Drosophila melanogaster: one gene and its partners. The protein of the gene in region 2 purifies or fractionates together with the protein of the main gene of each other region. This does not show direct contact. Each region holds a gene or a part of one and is shown on either strand. Other genes may lie near its edges.

Region 1 (4,837 bases), on a different chromosome or scaffold from region 2:
GCAGCAGCTCTACGTCGCGGGACTCGAAACAGGCCTTTAGTTCCTGCGGAGCAAATACATGAAAAGTTAGTCAAGTAATTCCCATACAGTGAATCACTAGAACGTACATCGGGCAGGGATTCAAAGACATCGGCTGGGTCCAGACCACCAGGTCCGAGGCGCTCCTTGCGCTCCTCCTCTTCGGCCTGGGCTATCGCCTCCTGGATCTTCTCCTGCGCACGCTTCTGGATACGTCCTTTGAAACCTTCGATCTCGCTGTCGAACTGCGCGCGGTACTCGGGATGACAGTGCTGGATCTTTGAGAAGAAGGAGCTGACACAGGCGCGAGGATCCACGTCCAGCTGTTTGGCCAACTCTAGAATGTACTGCATGCAAATGCACTGATGCGCCACGTGGGCCATCAGCTCGTGCTTCTCCTCCATTTCCAGGTTGATGGACCAAATGACTAGGTAGTTGGCCGTCTCCTCGCCCACCAAGTGAAGATGCTCCTGCAGAAACCGCTTCGAATCGTCGTACTTGCGCAGCATGCCATACTGCTGGCAGAGCTTCTCGTTCTCCTTGACGAATTGCTTCATGCGCTGCTCTCGCTCTTCCTCGGACAGATTCTCATCCGGCTTGCGGCCGGCCTTCTTGTTGATTACGGTCTTCTCAAAGCCGGGCTTGCTGATGGTGTCCACGTTCCAGGGTGTTTTCTTTTCCTTCTTAATCATCTCGCTCTCGATGCGGTCCAGCTCTTTGCCCTCGGCCTCGATCTTTTCGAGCTCTTTCTGTAGGCGATACAAATTAGGGATTAAGCATTGCGATGAAAGATGGATGGCCACTTAGGATGATAGTCAATCATAAGCTTGACAATAAGAATAAATTAGATGGATTGAGAACATAGGGAACTCCCAGACCAGGCATTAGCCTAAGCAACAAGTGCGCAGTGCATTCGGTGCAATGACCCACCTTCAGGGCCTCCTCGTCGCCATCCTTCTTTGAGATCCGCTCCTTGACGTCCATGAGGCGCGCCTGGTAGCTCTGGCGCTTTTTCTTAAGCTCGTCCTTCTCGTGGTCCATCTCCGCCATGCGCTCCACGCGCGCCTGGTGCCGCCAGCGGAACAGAGAAGGCGTGTCTATGTTTGGGTGAGTGTCGTCCTCATCATCCGAAATCTAAAAGGTAGTGTGCCGATTAGGAGGACTTTTTGGGTTGGCACCCAGCAGTGGGCTCACCTCGATGTTCTTCCACTTGCTGTAGTCCACCATTTTGCTGTTTCTTTGCTTCGGATTTATATTTGAATGTAAATGCTGCAGGTTTTTGTTCTTTTTCGGCTGCTTCCTTTTTTTGGATTGCTCTGGAAATTAGTGTGACCGCAGGGCTATTGCGGAATAATACCATAATAAGCCCCGCTTACTCTGGGGCCGCGCTAGGAAATAGTAGTCATGCATGAGTGCACCAGATTGAATTGAAATACCCTGTCGTTTTTAATTTATTTACATCATCTACTACTACTCATCTACATCTACTAGAAAAATAATGAGATGACTAAGGCGCCAAAGCGACCAGAAAGAGAACTATGTTTATAATCGATTGACATCGATAGAAATCGCGATATTGATGTCAATGTTCTGCGCCAATCGGCCGACATATTGAAAAAAACTGCGGTCCCGTGAAATAGAGGCGCTCCGTGAAAATTACGAATAACTACTGCAAATCAATAGTTAAATTAACAAAGTAACTGTGAACAAATAGATTGCCATCAAAGTGTAAGTTTCTACATAGTTTTCGTCCGTAGCTCACTGTTAGTTGGGTTCAAAATGCAATTGAAATTCGGTGTGCGTGCAAAGTGAAAATTTTTCGGGTCAACGCCACACCCTCGAAGGCAACACAAAAATCCAATTAACGGGGCTAAAGTGAGAGAAAAGTCTTGGCCATAACTGAAAAGCTATGCTGTGCAATGTCACTGCTTGATTAGTAATAGAAATTTTGAATTTCTTTCAAAATTCTTGACTCCAATTGCAACTTAAGAAAAAGTATCTGGTGCTCCTGTTGTGCATGTGTGTGTGCGGTTACGCAGGAGTAGAGAACGCTGTGTGTGTGTACGTCATCGGGTGGTGGTGGTGGTGCGGCAACTTCAGATGAGAGAAAGCGGGAGAGCACACTCTCCCTCTCTTTGCTTGTTTGTGTTTCCAAGATATTTAAGTACGAATAAAAAAAAAGCAAAGTGCTTGCCTTACATATGCCAAAGTTTTGGGTGGGCAAGTGTCCTTGACTTTCTTGAAGGCCTGTGTTTGCATAGGATATTTTTGTTTGCTTGCCAGGCGATTCCGTGTTCGTAGTAGTCTTGCGTACCAGTTGATTTTTTGTGCCTCTTCATTGATTGCTCATAATTCCAAAGCGTACGCATTACGTCATCCTCTGCTATTTTCTGATAGACACTTCAATTAATGTTTCGCTCTCTCCGTCTCTTTCTATTCGCTCTCTTTTTGAGGTGCGATCTCTCGCAATTGCCGTTTCTGATGTTGTTTTTGTTTGCCACCGCGATAAACAGTTAAATTGGCCTGCCTGTGTGTTTGTATGTGAGCTCCAACATTGTATGGCTGCCAAGCCCTGGGCTGTTGCCATCTCCCTCTGATTTATTTCAATTTCCTGTGGCAAAGAGTGTTGTTTGTTTGTTTCTCTGCATGCTGACCCACCCTCTCCCCTAAATGATGTCATTGCTTGCTCTGCTGACCCCTTCTAAAGGGGCGATTTTGAAGTATTAAGTATTAAAATCCGGACATTCCACGGATTTCCTTATCGTTAGTGCTAATTGTATTTCATGTTACTCTATTGACAAAAATTCACTCCTTGGCTTTTCTCTATTAATCATTCTTGGCCAATCTTAACTATTTTACCTTCTGTGTAGTGTAGCTGAGAATTTCAGATATTTCTCTGCTTTTCTTATCTGAGTTGTTTTTTTTTTTTTTTTAGCACTAAAAATTGGAAACTATTAGAAATGTGATTTTATGGGCTATCAACTAAGTTTGGAAATTAAAATAAATGATATCTTATAAGAATTCATAGAAAATATTTATACTTTAACAACAAAAAATTGTTGATGCAATATTTAGATACTTTTAGAAACCTACTATTCTTTTATTGTTAAGGTTAATACCTTTACAAATTTGTTTAGCATACATGTGCGTTTTTCCAAACCTGACCTACAAATATATTCCTCATAATTTCCCGCCTAACTATAACCTTATTACAACTTTTAGTACAGGTGATGAAGTCATCACAACTCGTAGCATTTTACGTGTCGTTTACGTTGATTTAGTTTATTGTGTGAAAACATATTGTTTATACAGAAAAAAAAGAAAATCCTGCAACTTCAACCCATCCAAACAACTCTAAAAATAACTTAGAAAACGAAACCCACAAAAGCCGAGCCAACATTTCCCTTCTCTCCTCTTCCGTTGCAGGGAAACAAAAGGGAGAGAGGGATTGGAGGAGGGCCAAAGGTTGAAAATAGCTCGAGCTAAGGCACAGAAAATAGATCACCGGAACATGACTGCAGAGCTCAAAGCGTCAGATACAGAAATGACGAAGCCGGAAGAGAGGCATCTGCTGCAGCTGCTTGCGCAACTGGAGAAGGTGCCGCACCACCAGCTGGAGCAAAAGTTCGTCGCCTATTTTAAAAAGGTTGGCAAGGGTGATAACCAGAGTAACTGCACACTAGAGGACTTCGCCACCTACTTTTTAGGTGCACTGCGTCAAAGCACAAAGAGGTACTACTATTCGCAAAACTCGGAGACACCCGTGTTTCCCTTGACCCCCATCCATCAGCTCAAGCCGCCGGTCGCCGATGTGGTCAAGGAGGAGGAACAGCAGCAGCTCAATGAGTCCTCGATCCTTAGCCGGAGCAGCTGCAGTATGTCCTCCACTTCGAATACTACTCCGGCTCCCCAGCAGCCGCAGGGCAGAAGATCAACGCCAGGAAGTGGCGCCCAGTTTTGCAGCACGCCTAACAGAAGCGGCGGTGGGGGAGCAGGAGGAGGGCACAGCATCTGCTTGGGCAACTTTCTGGTCAATACACCTATCCAGAGCCATCAGCGATCTAAGAAGAAGATCACGCCCCAAAAACAGCAGCAAAATCAACATGCATCATTGGGTTCAGGAACTGGAGCTGGAGCCACGCCACAATCCAAGCCGCGGCGACGTGTCTTACCCATGACCATTAGCAAGAATGTTTCGGCCAGCTCCTCTTTCGGAGACACCAGTTCCTTTAGCAATGAAAATAACTTTTGGCGAATCTCGCAGAGCAGCGAAATCTTCGATAGAAGCCAAGAAGCAGCCCTGGAAATGGAGGCCCGCAAGTTCCTGTTGCTCAAAAAGCAGGAAATCAAAAGCGAAGCGCCTGTGAATGTTAGTCAACAGGAGAGGACACCCGAAGATGAGGTTTTCCCTGAGGAAGCCATTAGCTTGGAGGGTGTGGCTAATGCCAATCACTTGCAGCTCCTATCAACCATTTACAGCCTGTTAATGGACCTCAATTTGGTGCCCAACGTACTACGTGAACTTAGTTTTGTGGTCCATCTGCTAAATGTGCGAGATTTTGGCCAATCACCCGTCAAATCGTATGTACCCAGTGCTTTGGAGGGACTCACCCAGCACAAAAGTTGTGTATACTTTGCCGCAAAACTGCTGGAGAATCAGAAAAAGTTACTTCTGCAGCTTGACAAACGGACTTTGAGTGTCTTGCTACAAAACGAGAGATTGAGCCTGCTGCCGCAAGGAGTTGTCCAAGAATTGGAAACTCACTGTCAGCGGAGGCAGGATTCGACCACACCCTTCGCTATGGACACCTCTTCGTCC
Region 2 (5,036 bases):
CCGCATCTGCATTGTCTTTCATGTTGGAAAATTTGGGCAAGACGGTGATCATCACGGGCTCCCAAATACCCATCTTTGAGACGCGAACCGATGGCAAGGACAATTTTACGTCAGCCTTGATCATAGCCGGTAACTACATCATTCCGGAGGTTTGCATCTTCTTTGGCCATAAGTTGATGCGCGGCAATCGGACGGTGAAGGTCAGTTCGAATGCCTTAGACGCGTTCGACTCACCGAATGTTCCACCACTGGCCAGGATCGGCATTGATGTGAACGTCGACTACCGCCTGATATTCCGGCCATGCACTATTGAAAGGTTTTGCGTACACTTGAATCTCGACGAGAACGTCGGCTTGCTGCGAATCTTTCCGAGCATTTCGCACTCCACATTCCGGGCTTTCCTGGCGCCACCGATTCGCGGCGTTGTCCTGCAATCCTTCGGATCTGGAAACATACCATCGAACCGAAAAGATCTCATCGATGAACTGCGTGCGGCTGGTGAACGAGGCGTTATCATCATCAATTGTACACAGTGTCCCAATGGCACAGTGGCGGAGATCTACGATACGGGCAAGGTGCTCTGCGATGTCGGTGTAATTCCCGGTTTCGATATGACGCCCGAGGCGGCGCTGGCCAAGCTGGCCTATGTCATCGGCAAGGAGGAGTGGTCACTCGATATGAAGAAGCAGGTAAGTTTCGACTATAATTCAATACATACATAAATATGGATAATCCACAATGTGTGCATTTCATAGATGATGCAGTCAAGCCTGAGGGGCGAACTGACCTCCTTAAAGGCTCCCAAAATGGAGGACTACGACTTGGTGGACGCAGTGGCACGGTCTCTGCACTTGTCCTCGCCCCAAGAACTGGATCAGCTGGGCGAAACGCTCTTTCCGGCCATGATCAACGCCGCTGTGGCCGAAGGTGATCCCAAGAAGATCAACAACTTGAAAGCCTATGGCGCCGACTTGTCGGGCACAAATCATGACCAGCGAACGGCCCTACACTTGGCTTGTCAGCTGGGAAACGTGGAGATCGTTAAGTACCTACTGCAGAACGGGGTGTCCGTGCACGTGCGTGATCGGTATGACCGCACTCCACTTCTGGAGGCTGTCGCCACCGATAGCCACGAGATCATCCAGTTGCTCATCAACTGTGGTGCTCATTTGACGGGCTCTTCGCGAGCGGTGGGCGAGCAATTGTGCGCGGCCGCTGCTAGGGGATCGATGATCAGATTGAAGTCCTATCAATACGCCGGTGCCGATCTTGCCCAGTCGGATCCTTCGGGCAGGACGGCCTTGCACGTGGCAGCACTGCACGGATTTCCGGAGGTGGTGCAATACGTCCTGCCCTATTTCGAGAATCCGAACGAGAAGGACATGCTCGGCCTGACCGCCATGGATTATGCGGAGCGCGGCGGACACGCAGCGGTTATGGAGGTCCTAAAATCATAGAAATCTCTTCCGAACCATACATACCTCGTTCCTTGTTCCTGCAGCATGAAGAAAAAAACAAACACTGGAGGCTAGGGTTATTTCTTTTGTACTTAAGTGTTGCATCTAGTCTAATGGTTCCTTATTATCAGTTTTGCATAACTCGCATATTAACGATGTTGTCGTGGTAGTTTTTATTATTAAGTGTCGAATCCCTGACCTGTTTTTAAGTAGTCCTTATTTACTAATGTATCCATTGTATGCAATAATATTATTAGCCAAAACCAAAAATTAACCAATCATGTCTAAAATTAAGCATCAGACATATTAAACGGTTGTATAACAAGTTATATACACAAACTAGTATAATTTGTTGTATGAAAATAAATAAAATCAATTTGAAATTAATGCAAAATTTTTGAATTAGTTTGTAATCGATTGATTGATTACGAGCGCAAGTGCTATCGAGCCATCTGTCATTCGATAACTTACCAGGGCTTTGTGACCCTATTCAGTTGTTGCGCAGCCCTGGTATCGAATTGTTTTTACGCTGGCATTAATTAGAATTGGTAAATATACATCTGTCAGCGTGCACATAAGAAAGCTCTTACGTTGCAATCTAGTGCTTAGTGGCTTGTAACTCAGAAACCAGGCGAAAATCGACACAAGCGCTGGAAAAACAGCAAACAAAACACACACACAGCCCCACTCGCACACACACAGCCGCACACACACGCACACATCTATAGAGAGGTGCACACGTCAGTGCCACGAATTCCATAAAATAAAAAGAACAACAAGAAACGCAAATTCAAAGCTAAAGACAATTCTAGCCGATCGGAAGCGGATGATATATGTTAGCTATATGGTAAACCCTCTCTCGTTGCAGTCAATGTCGATAGCTAGCGCTGCGCAGCCACCGTGGATATATAATCGGTCCTTCAGATAGCCAGTCCGCATATATATTCCCGATTCCCCCGATTTGTGTTTTTGTTTGTTTTTGGTTTTTTTTTTTTTTTTGTTATTGCTGCTGCATTTGGTCCGGTACGCTAGGATAGTTAGTAATATTTTGTAATTGAAACGACAATGGCGGAAGATTCGGGTGCTTTGGAGAGCTCCTACGACTTCTCCATCGTTCAGGTGGGTTTCACTTGGTGTTCCCTGTACGTACATGCGTCCATACTGATCATGACCACTTGCAGCCCGACGATCACGAATATGGCGAGGCGGATATACGCTTAGCGGGCAGCTCCAACGATCTGTCCTCGTTACAGGTGGGTAAATCTGAACAAATCCCCCAAGTGAAGCAGGATTCAATATTATCTGTTGAATCTACCCTACAGAATGTATCCGCCAGCACAACGAGAGGCACCAAAGGCAAGGGCCGTTTGGATAGCCTTAAAGAGAATCTGTACAAGCAGCAGGTGAGTTAGGCGCTGTGAATCAAGTGGTTCATATCATTAAATGACTCGAAATGATTGCTTTCAGGAGCGCCTCACTGCCTTAAAAGAACGCGCCTTAAGGAAATCCCAGGATGAGCGACACAAGTCCAGCATGAGTGACTCCATGGAGTCGCTTAAGACACTGGGTCAGAAGCTCACCGTGTTGAAGACGCGCTCCGGCGACTCCTCCACTCCACTGGTCTCACCCACAAAGGACAGCGACCCCGGTGATGTCTCTTTACTCCAAACCAGTGGCAGCGAGAAGCTTCTGATGCTCACACAGCGCACGGAACAAAATCGTGCTTTGTTGGAGCAGCGCAAGAGGGATCTGGCCAAGTCTCTTCTTTCTGTAAAGTCGAATATTGGCCACCAAACGACCGCCGAGCTGGGCTCTTCCATGACGGACCTACGACACGCGGCGTCTGTCTCCAATCCACCCGTATCCCGCCATCGTTCTGCCTTGGACTTGGAGGCCCAGGGTCAGGAGGCGGTGGACGAAAGCCGGGTGAAGTTGCTCAGGAGTCGTATGAAGTTGACGGAACTCAAGCAGGGCCGGCAGGAACAGGAGCTAAATGAATTGCGTACAGAACTGGCCAAGCGCGCTAAACTCATCGAGCGATTGGAACTATCCGGTGCGGAATTACAGCGCACGCTCACCCAGCGAAACGAGGAGTTAGAGCAATTGCGTGTGGTCCAGGCAGAAGAGGATAGCCTGAAGGTGCAGGAAAACTCTCGCCTCCAGGGCGAAGTTTTAGTCTTAAGAGAACGACTAGCAGAGCTGGAAAACGTCAACGACCTGTTAGAAACGACGCGCTGTGAACTTCAGGAAGAGCTGACCACGGCGCGCGAAAGACAGCGTAATCTGGAGTTGGAACAAGAGCAGGAAAAGGCTTCCCGCAGTCCGCAATCGGAAGCAGCGCATACCGATGCACAGGTGAGCGCGGAGCTAGCCAAACAGCTCCAGGAGCTTACCAACCAGCTGGCTGATCTACAGGCAACTAATGAGGAGTTGCGTCAGCAAGTTGCTGCCCAGGCGAAGCTCCAGGTGACCGATGAGATTGTTTCCCAGCGCCTTGAGGAACTGGAAGCCACCATAGCGGCGCAGCTTCTAGAGCTGCAGGAACAGAAGTCGGCAATGGCTGCCCAAAACGAAGAACTCGCAGAAAAGACAACGGAACTCAATGTGCTCAATGTGAATCTGCGTCTCCTTGAGGAGAAACTCGCGCAAAGCAGTCGCAGTAAGCCCCTATTTCTGGAGGACCATTCGGAGGACAGTGCCGCCAGCAAGCAGATGCAGGAGGATCTGCAGCAGCTGAAGCTAAAGCTGGACGAAACTAACAAGGCCAACATAAAGCTAAAGCTGAAATGCAAGCAGGCGGAAAAGAAGCTGCAGAAATTCCAATCCCAAGATGGCCAACAGCAGTTGGCTTCACTGTTGGCTGATAACGAGGAACTGCAGCAAAGGATCGCCGTCCTCGAGGACGAGAAGGGTCAATGGCAGTTGGCCAACATGCAAGAGGACGACCGCCAGCCAGAGCAATCGACGGAGTCCAATAATCCACTGCAGCTGGAAACAATTCGTTTGCTGGAAGAGCAGAAATTGGAATTGCAACAGGCCCTAGAGGCCTTACTCAGTTCATCCAGTTCTGCGGAATCCATTGAAATAGTGGAGCGTCATCACTTAGAGTGCCTAGGCCAACGACGTCCGGCCAGCGAGGGCGACGCCCAGGAGCAGAAGCAAGTGCATCCACCAGGGCCAAGTCACGTCAGCGAGCTCACTCAGACGGAGCAAACTGAGGAGGAGGATTCCTCTGGCGAAACTCTTTCCCAGCTTAGAGAACGTCTCGAACTTTTCACCCAGGAGCGCGGAGAGGTATTGGACAAGCTGGAGCAACTGTCGGCCGAGAATTTGCAACTCCAGGCAAGATTGGAGGAAAGTTCAAGTTCTCTTCAGCTGTTGCAGCGTGAACGTGAGAAGGATCTGATCTCCTCCACGTCCACTTCATCCAATCTCTCGCAGGAACTCAGTTCAATGCAACGCTCCTCCGAAGTTGTCGCAACACTGGACGCCGGCGAAGGAGGCCCCGTGCTCTTTGAGAAATGCGAGAAATCCCTGAGCAAACTCAACTCTGAATTGGAGGCCTATCGCAAGGCCAAC
Region 3 (4,842 bases), about 14 Mb from region 2:
AATGTATCCACATAACAAGTAGCTAATTACTGAGGGTTTGCTTTATATGCGGGTTTCATTCATTTAGGGGTGTCATCCATGTAAATGCACCAGTGGTTATTGTATTTAATTGTTATTTAATGGCTCATTCATTGACAAATAGTTTACTGTTGGCCCTCAAAGAGGTGCATTAAACAAATTCTTGTTATTGATTTTATAACTATAAATACTTGCTCTTTTTTTTATAATTAGACTAACAATAAAAAGGCACAAAAAGTATATAACGTCGTAGCTAATAAGTTTTAGCTTGAATGCTAAAGTTCGCTGCTATCTTTATGACCTCAACTGTGAACACACATCGCACATTTCACATTTTCATAAATCATATTCATGCTGGGCCCATTCAGTTTCCATTTTTCCATCGGCGAGCTTTTTGTTTTACGGGACACACGTATGTCTATCACTCATTTACATGGGCTTGTATACTAGTATTTCACTGGTTTTTTATCGACGTAGCCGACGATTTGAAATTACGACCTATTCACACGGCAGTTGGCCCTCGAAAATTCATTCGGTTTCACACATCGCAGCGTTTTTCACACTTTTGCAAGCTTTTAGGTTGCAATGAAAATGGGCGAAGTACTTGGGCTGTACTTTTTCCACTTGACATATTTTTTTGTTTTTTTATTGCCGCACTTTCTCCGCGGCTTTCACATTACAAATTAGGAGAACACAGTACTTAATTCAGAACTCAAAATTTCCCCAAATAAAATACTGCCTCTACAAAATTTTAGTAAATTATTAGAAATATTATGTCAGTTCATGTTTTCAACTTTTATTCATTCACAATATTTTATTTACAGTAAATGCAATTCAGTATGATATTTTTGAAAATTATTTGTAAGATGAATAATGAATTCTTTAATGAATGACCGCAACTCGATTAGAATAACAATTTAATTGCTTGATTAATGGAATTAAGTAATATAAGCTTGCCGACCTAGGACAAAAATAGAATCACTGATTGAATCAGGCCCCTTTTGCTGTGTATAACAGTGGGTTTTTGTGCTAATGTCCTTTGACCTTTATATACATTCGCGTTTGCACAGGTGCCGGGGTCATTCCCTTCTACGCACACAACAACAACAAAAGCAGCAAACATAACTTTTTCCCATCGCTTCGTTATCGCCCTCCTCTACTCTTCGTTCTTCGCTCTTCCTCTTCTCGCTTACACAATTAACTAAGCTGCTGATTTCATTTGTACTAAGTTTTATGAGAGCACCGCGACAACAACACCCAAAATGAAGAACATCAAGAACCATAGTGCGAGCGAGAATTGTTAAAACAAACAAAAGCAAAATCAGCACACACGCACACGCACGCAGCAGCTTCTATCTTAGTATTACGTAATATTTTTATTAAAACGAAGCTTAAAACTTTGAGAGAGCGAGAGCGAGCAACAACAAAACTGGAGCGCAGAGCGATAGATAGAGATGGAGAGAGGAGAAAGAGAAAGAGGGAGAGTACTATTGTATCTATATATCTGTATCTGGAAGGTGGTGCAGTTAGAGTAGGAGTGCTGGAAGTGGAAGTGAGCAAGGGATAGAGGGGTGGAAACTGCACAAGACGCTCTCACGGGCTAGCTCTCTTCCCCTTACACACCCCAACCACCCACCCCACCTTACCACCTTCAATTGTTGGTGCTTTCTAGACTTAATTATGATGGCCGATCCGATCCTCTTGTTTCCAGTGTGAGTTCATCACAGAGAGCGATGAAGAGAGACACAGTGTGAGCGGAAGAGAGAGAGCGGGGCGTGTGTGCAACTGCGAGTTCAATTAAACAGGCCAAGAGTTCAACTTTGGAAACTTGGAAATGAAACCACCACCAAAGCTGAGGCTTTGCTAAGGAAAAACCAGTTTTCCCTGCCATTTATGAGCAAGTTAATGAGTTTTCGGCGATCAATTGATTGAATGCCTGTATGTTTGTAGGTTTGTGTGCGGGTGTGTGTGTTGTGTTTACAACTGTACGTGTGTGATTTGTCATAAACAACAACAATGCAACAACATCAGCGACAAGGTGAAGCACAAACAAACACATAAGCAAACAAACATTGGGCAAGTGCAGCTCAGTATATTTATATCTTTTAACTCGTAACTTCGAAATGAAACTTCAACTCGTGACCTCAGAGGGCCGGGTGGGTGAGAAGAGCGGGGTGCAAGGGAAATGGGAAATGGGGAGTGTGTGTTATTTTTAGCCGATGTGTTGGTGAGCACGTAACTGTATTTCAGCCAAGTGCATAGGCGTATGCGTATCTACGGGGAAGAAAAAAGAGCGCACCGCTTGTATTTCATAAAACTCACAAGCACACGGAACCTCAACGTATGATACACATGTATATATATATATATATCTCCGATTAGGCGATAGCCGTGTTCTTCGCTTTTTATCACCAACGGAACGAACAACTGACGCAAACGTTACTTAAGGCTTGCGCTTCTTCTTCTTGCACAGCAACATGTCATTCATGCGTTTAATTCACAGCTCTAGAGTTTCGGTCCTGCCATTCAGGCACATTTACACCAAGTAATTTAAAAAATAAAAAAAAAAATGCGAACTACACTCGTCCAATTCGATTACTCGAACAAACATACACACACACTCACGCACGCTACGCGCTCTCAACGAAAACCGAATGATGTCATCATCGGTGGCAGAGACAGCGACGCCGGCAGCGACGGCGACAGCGTCGAAATATATGAGTTAGCAGGCAATTTTAATCGATGATGTTTTTATTATGTACGTAGAAATGTATGCGAGAAATCACTTGCTTTTCATATTTTAGCACACTTCTAATTCTCAAACCAAAAACACACACACAGGCACACCAAGAGTAAGAGTCGCTCACACATTCGTTAGATACTTTTTGCTCTCTTTTGCCACTTCTGCCTTTTATTGGTGGCTCCTTTTTCGTGGCCTATTCACTTGGGCGTTGGTCTATTTCACATTTTCCCCGTTCGACCGCTTGCGTTTCGAATTTCGCGCCGTTTTTACTGCACTGCGGCGACTTTCACTTACCTACTCGATAATTTTGCAGCTCCGCTCGCCCTAATTGATTCATAAAACACAGTTAATTTCATAGATTTAGCACGTTCAACTAAAAATCTTCGGTCTGGCGGATGAACTTCACTTGGCGAGAATGGAAAAAATGTATGTATTCAAAACATCGCGTTGCGAACGAGTGAACGAAGTGAACCAGCGCGAGAAGGCGCTAAAAAACGCCTACTGCGCAGTGTGGCCGTGCCACATGATCTGGCTATAAATTAGCCAAAACGGTGGAACTTAAGATTTTTATATATTATTTAACTTAAATATTCCTTCATATTTGTATAACCTAATATTACATAAACAATTGTTTACGCCACATGTACTCTATTACTTCGAGCTATTTAAATAATATTAATTAAATTTTTATCAGAACCAAAATGTTCTTATTTTCCTAAGATTTTCGTTACAGAAATGCTTATATACAAACATAACTTATTTATATTTAACTTTTTTTAATATGTTGGCTTTTTGGGAGAATATAAGCCTTATTGCTAATAATAACAGTAAAGATTTTACTAACTTAATAGTACTAATAGTTGTTAGCCTCTTGCAATAATTGTTAATATTTTTCTTTAGCTGCGCATCTCTTTGTTAACCTTCACCTATGAGAGCAGTATAGTATTTTTATAATAATAAAATAATAAAATGTAGTAATTGCTGGTATATTTGCAGCCTCTCCAACTGGCCACACTGACGTGTGTTGATTTTTTGGATGCGGATCGCAGTGGATTCTCGGATTCTCCGGCATTCCCTGCCCCAACTACAGATCGCCGAGATTAAAGCAGACCCGCGCCGGCATCTCCAGCACGGACACCCCGCCGGCCAGGCCAATAGAGCGGGACAACCGAGCACACGAGCATTGCCGGGTGCAACAAGTTGGAACGCAACGACAACGACGACGAGGACAAAATGCCGGTGAGGATGTACGATGTATCGCCGCGCGTTTTCTGCGCCATGCAGAATCTGGACATCACCCTGCTGGCCAGCTATCCGGAGGCGGAGATTCGGCCCGTGCTGCCCTCGCTGGTGCGGATGAGCCTGCTATCGCCACTGGACAACACCGAATCGTCGATGGAGTCGCGCAAAGAGATCCTGGCCGTGCTCATCGGCATCGAGGTGGTGAACAGCATCGTCTCCTACCTGCAAGTCAACTACCATGAGCTGGAGAATGAGCTGAAGAAGGAGCTGCAGGCCCGCCAGAAGTCGGCCTTCTTCGAGGGACAGCAACACGAGTACGGCCTCCAGTCGGGCATCGCACTGGGCTTTGAGCGGGCGGATGTGGCGCGCAAGGTGCGCGTGGTGCTCTCCGAGATCTTCAATCTGCAGCAGCAGGTCTCCGAGCAGAAACCGGCCGCCCATTCGGAGATGCTGGACGACGGCATCTATCTGGAGGAGGTGGTCGACATTCTGTGCATTGCTCTCGCCGAGCTGCCCTCCCTGCTGAACATACTGGAGCTAACGGACGCCCTTGTCCATGTGCCCAACGGACATCGCATCATCTGCGCACTGGTCGCCAACTTTCCGGATTGCTATCGCGACGTTGTGTCCCATGTGATCGCCAATTGCGACGAGGATGGCAGCGATGGCAAGCACCGGTTAATGCTGCTCATGGGGCTCAGCGAGATGAATCCCTCCCAGGCGCTGGCCAACAGGTCCATGTGCGTGGATATGCTGAAGGTGCCGTCGTTTATGCTTAAGCTCACGCTCAAGCATCCCGAGGATCTGGTGAGTAGGGTAATATTGACCAGTAAGGTGCA

What was found. Proteins that work in one complex are often made in the same cells at the same time.
Region 1: the proteins of lva (region 2) and alpha-Spec purify together in Drosophila melanogaster (affinity purification with western blotting; 2 studies listed by BioGRID, with this or other methods). This does not show direct contact.
Region 3: the proteins of lva (region 2) and beta-Spec purify together in Drosophila melanogaster (affinity purification with western blotting, with the first as the bait; one study listed by BioGRID). This does not show direct contact.

The regions. Positions count from the first base shown.
Region 1 is NT_037436.4:1,792,108-1,796,944, reverse strand, and holds the start of alpha-Spec (alpha spectrin), read left to right. Parts: upstream 1-1,616; 5' UTR 1,617-1,746; intron 1,747-3,444; exon of another isoform or gene 3,445-3,529; coding exon of another isoform or gene 3,530-4,837. Other genes in the region: Cdc37 (cell division cycle 37), read right to left, coding at 1-43, 108-767, 949-1,152, 1,213-1,245; dlt (discs lost), read left to right, coding at 3,530-4,837. UniProt on the Drosophila melanogaster protein: Spectrin is the major constituent of the cytoskeletal network underlying the erythrocyte plasma membrane. It associates with band 4.1 and actin to form the cytoskeletal superstructure of the erythrocyte plasma membrane.
Region 2 is NC_004354.4:3,962,241-3,967,276, reverse strand, and holds the start of lva (lava lamp), read left to right. Parts: upstream 1-1,949; 5' UTR 1,950-2,522; coding exon 2,523-2,576; intron 2,577-2,638; coding exon 2,639-2,710; intron 2,711-2,779; coding exon 2,780-2,860; intron 2,861-2,924; coding exon 2,925-5,036. Other genes in the region: CG6428 (uncharacterized protein), read left to right, coding at 1-689, 756-1,457. UniProt on the Drosophila melanogaster protein: Lva and spectrin may form a Golgi-based scaffold that mediates interaction of Golgi bodies with microtubules and facilitates Golgi-derived membrane secretion required for the formation of furrows during cellularization.
Region 3 is NC_004354.4:17,655,751-17,660,592, reverse strand, and holds the start of beta-Spec (beta spectrin), read right to left. Parts: upstream 3,222-4,842; 5' UTR 3,060-3,221; exon of another isoform or gene 3,056-3,059; intron 1-3,055. Other genes in the region: IntS2 (integrator 2), read left to right, coding at 3,995-4,810. UniProt on the Drosophila melanogaster protein: Spectrin is the major constituent of the cytoskeletal network underlying the erythrocyte plasma membrane. It associates with band 4.1 and actin to form the cytoskeletal superstructure of the erythrocyte plasma membrane.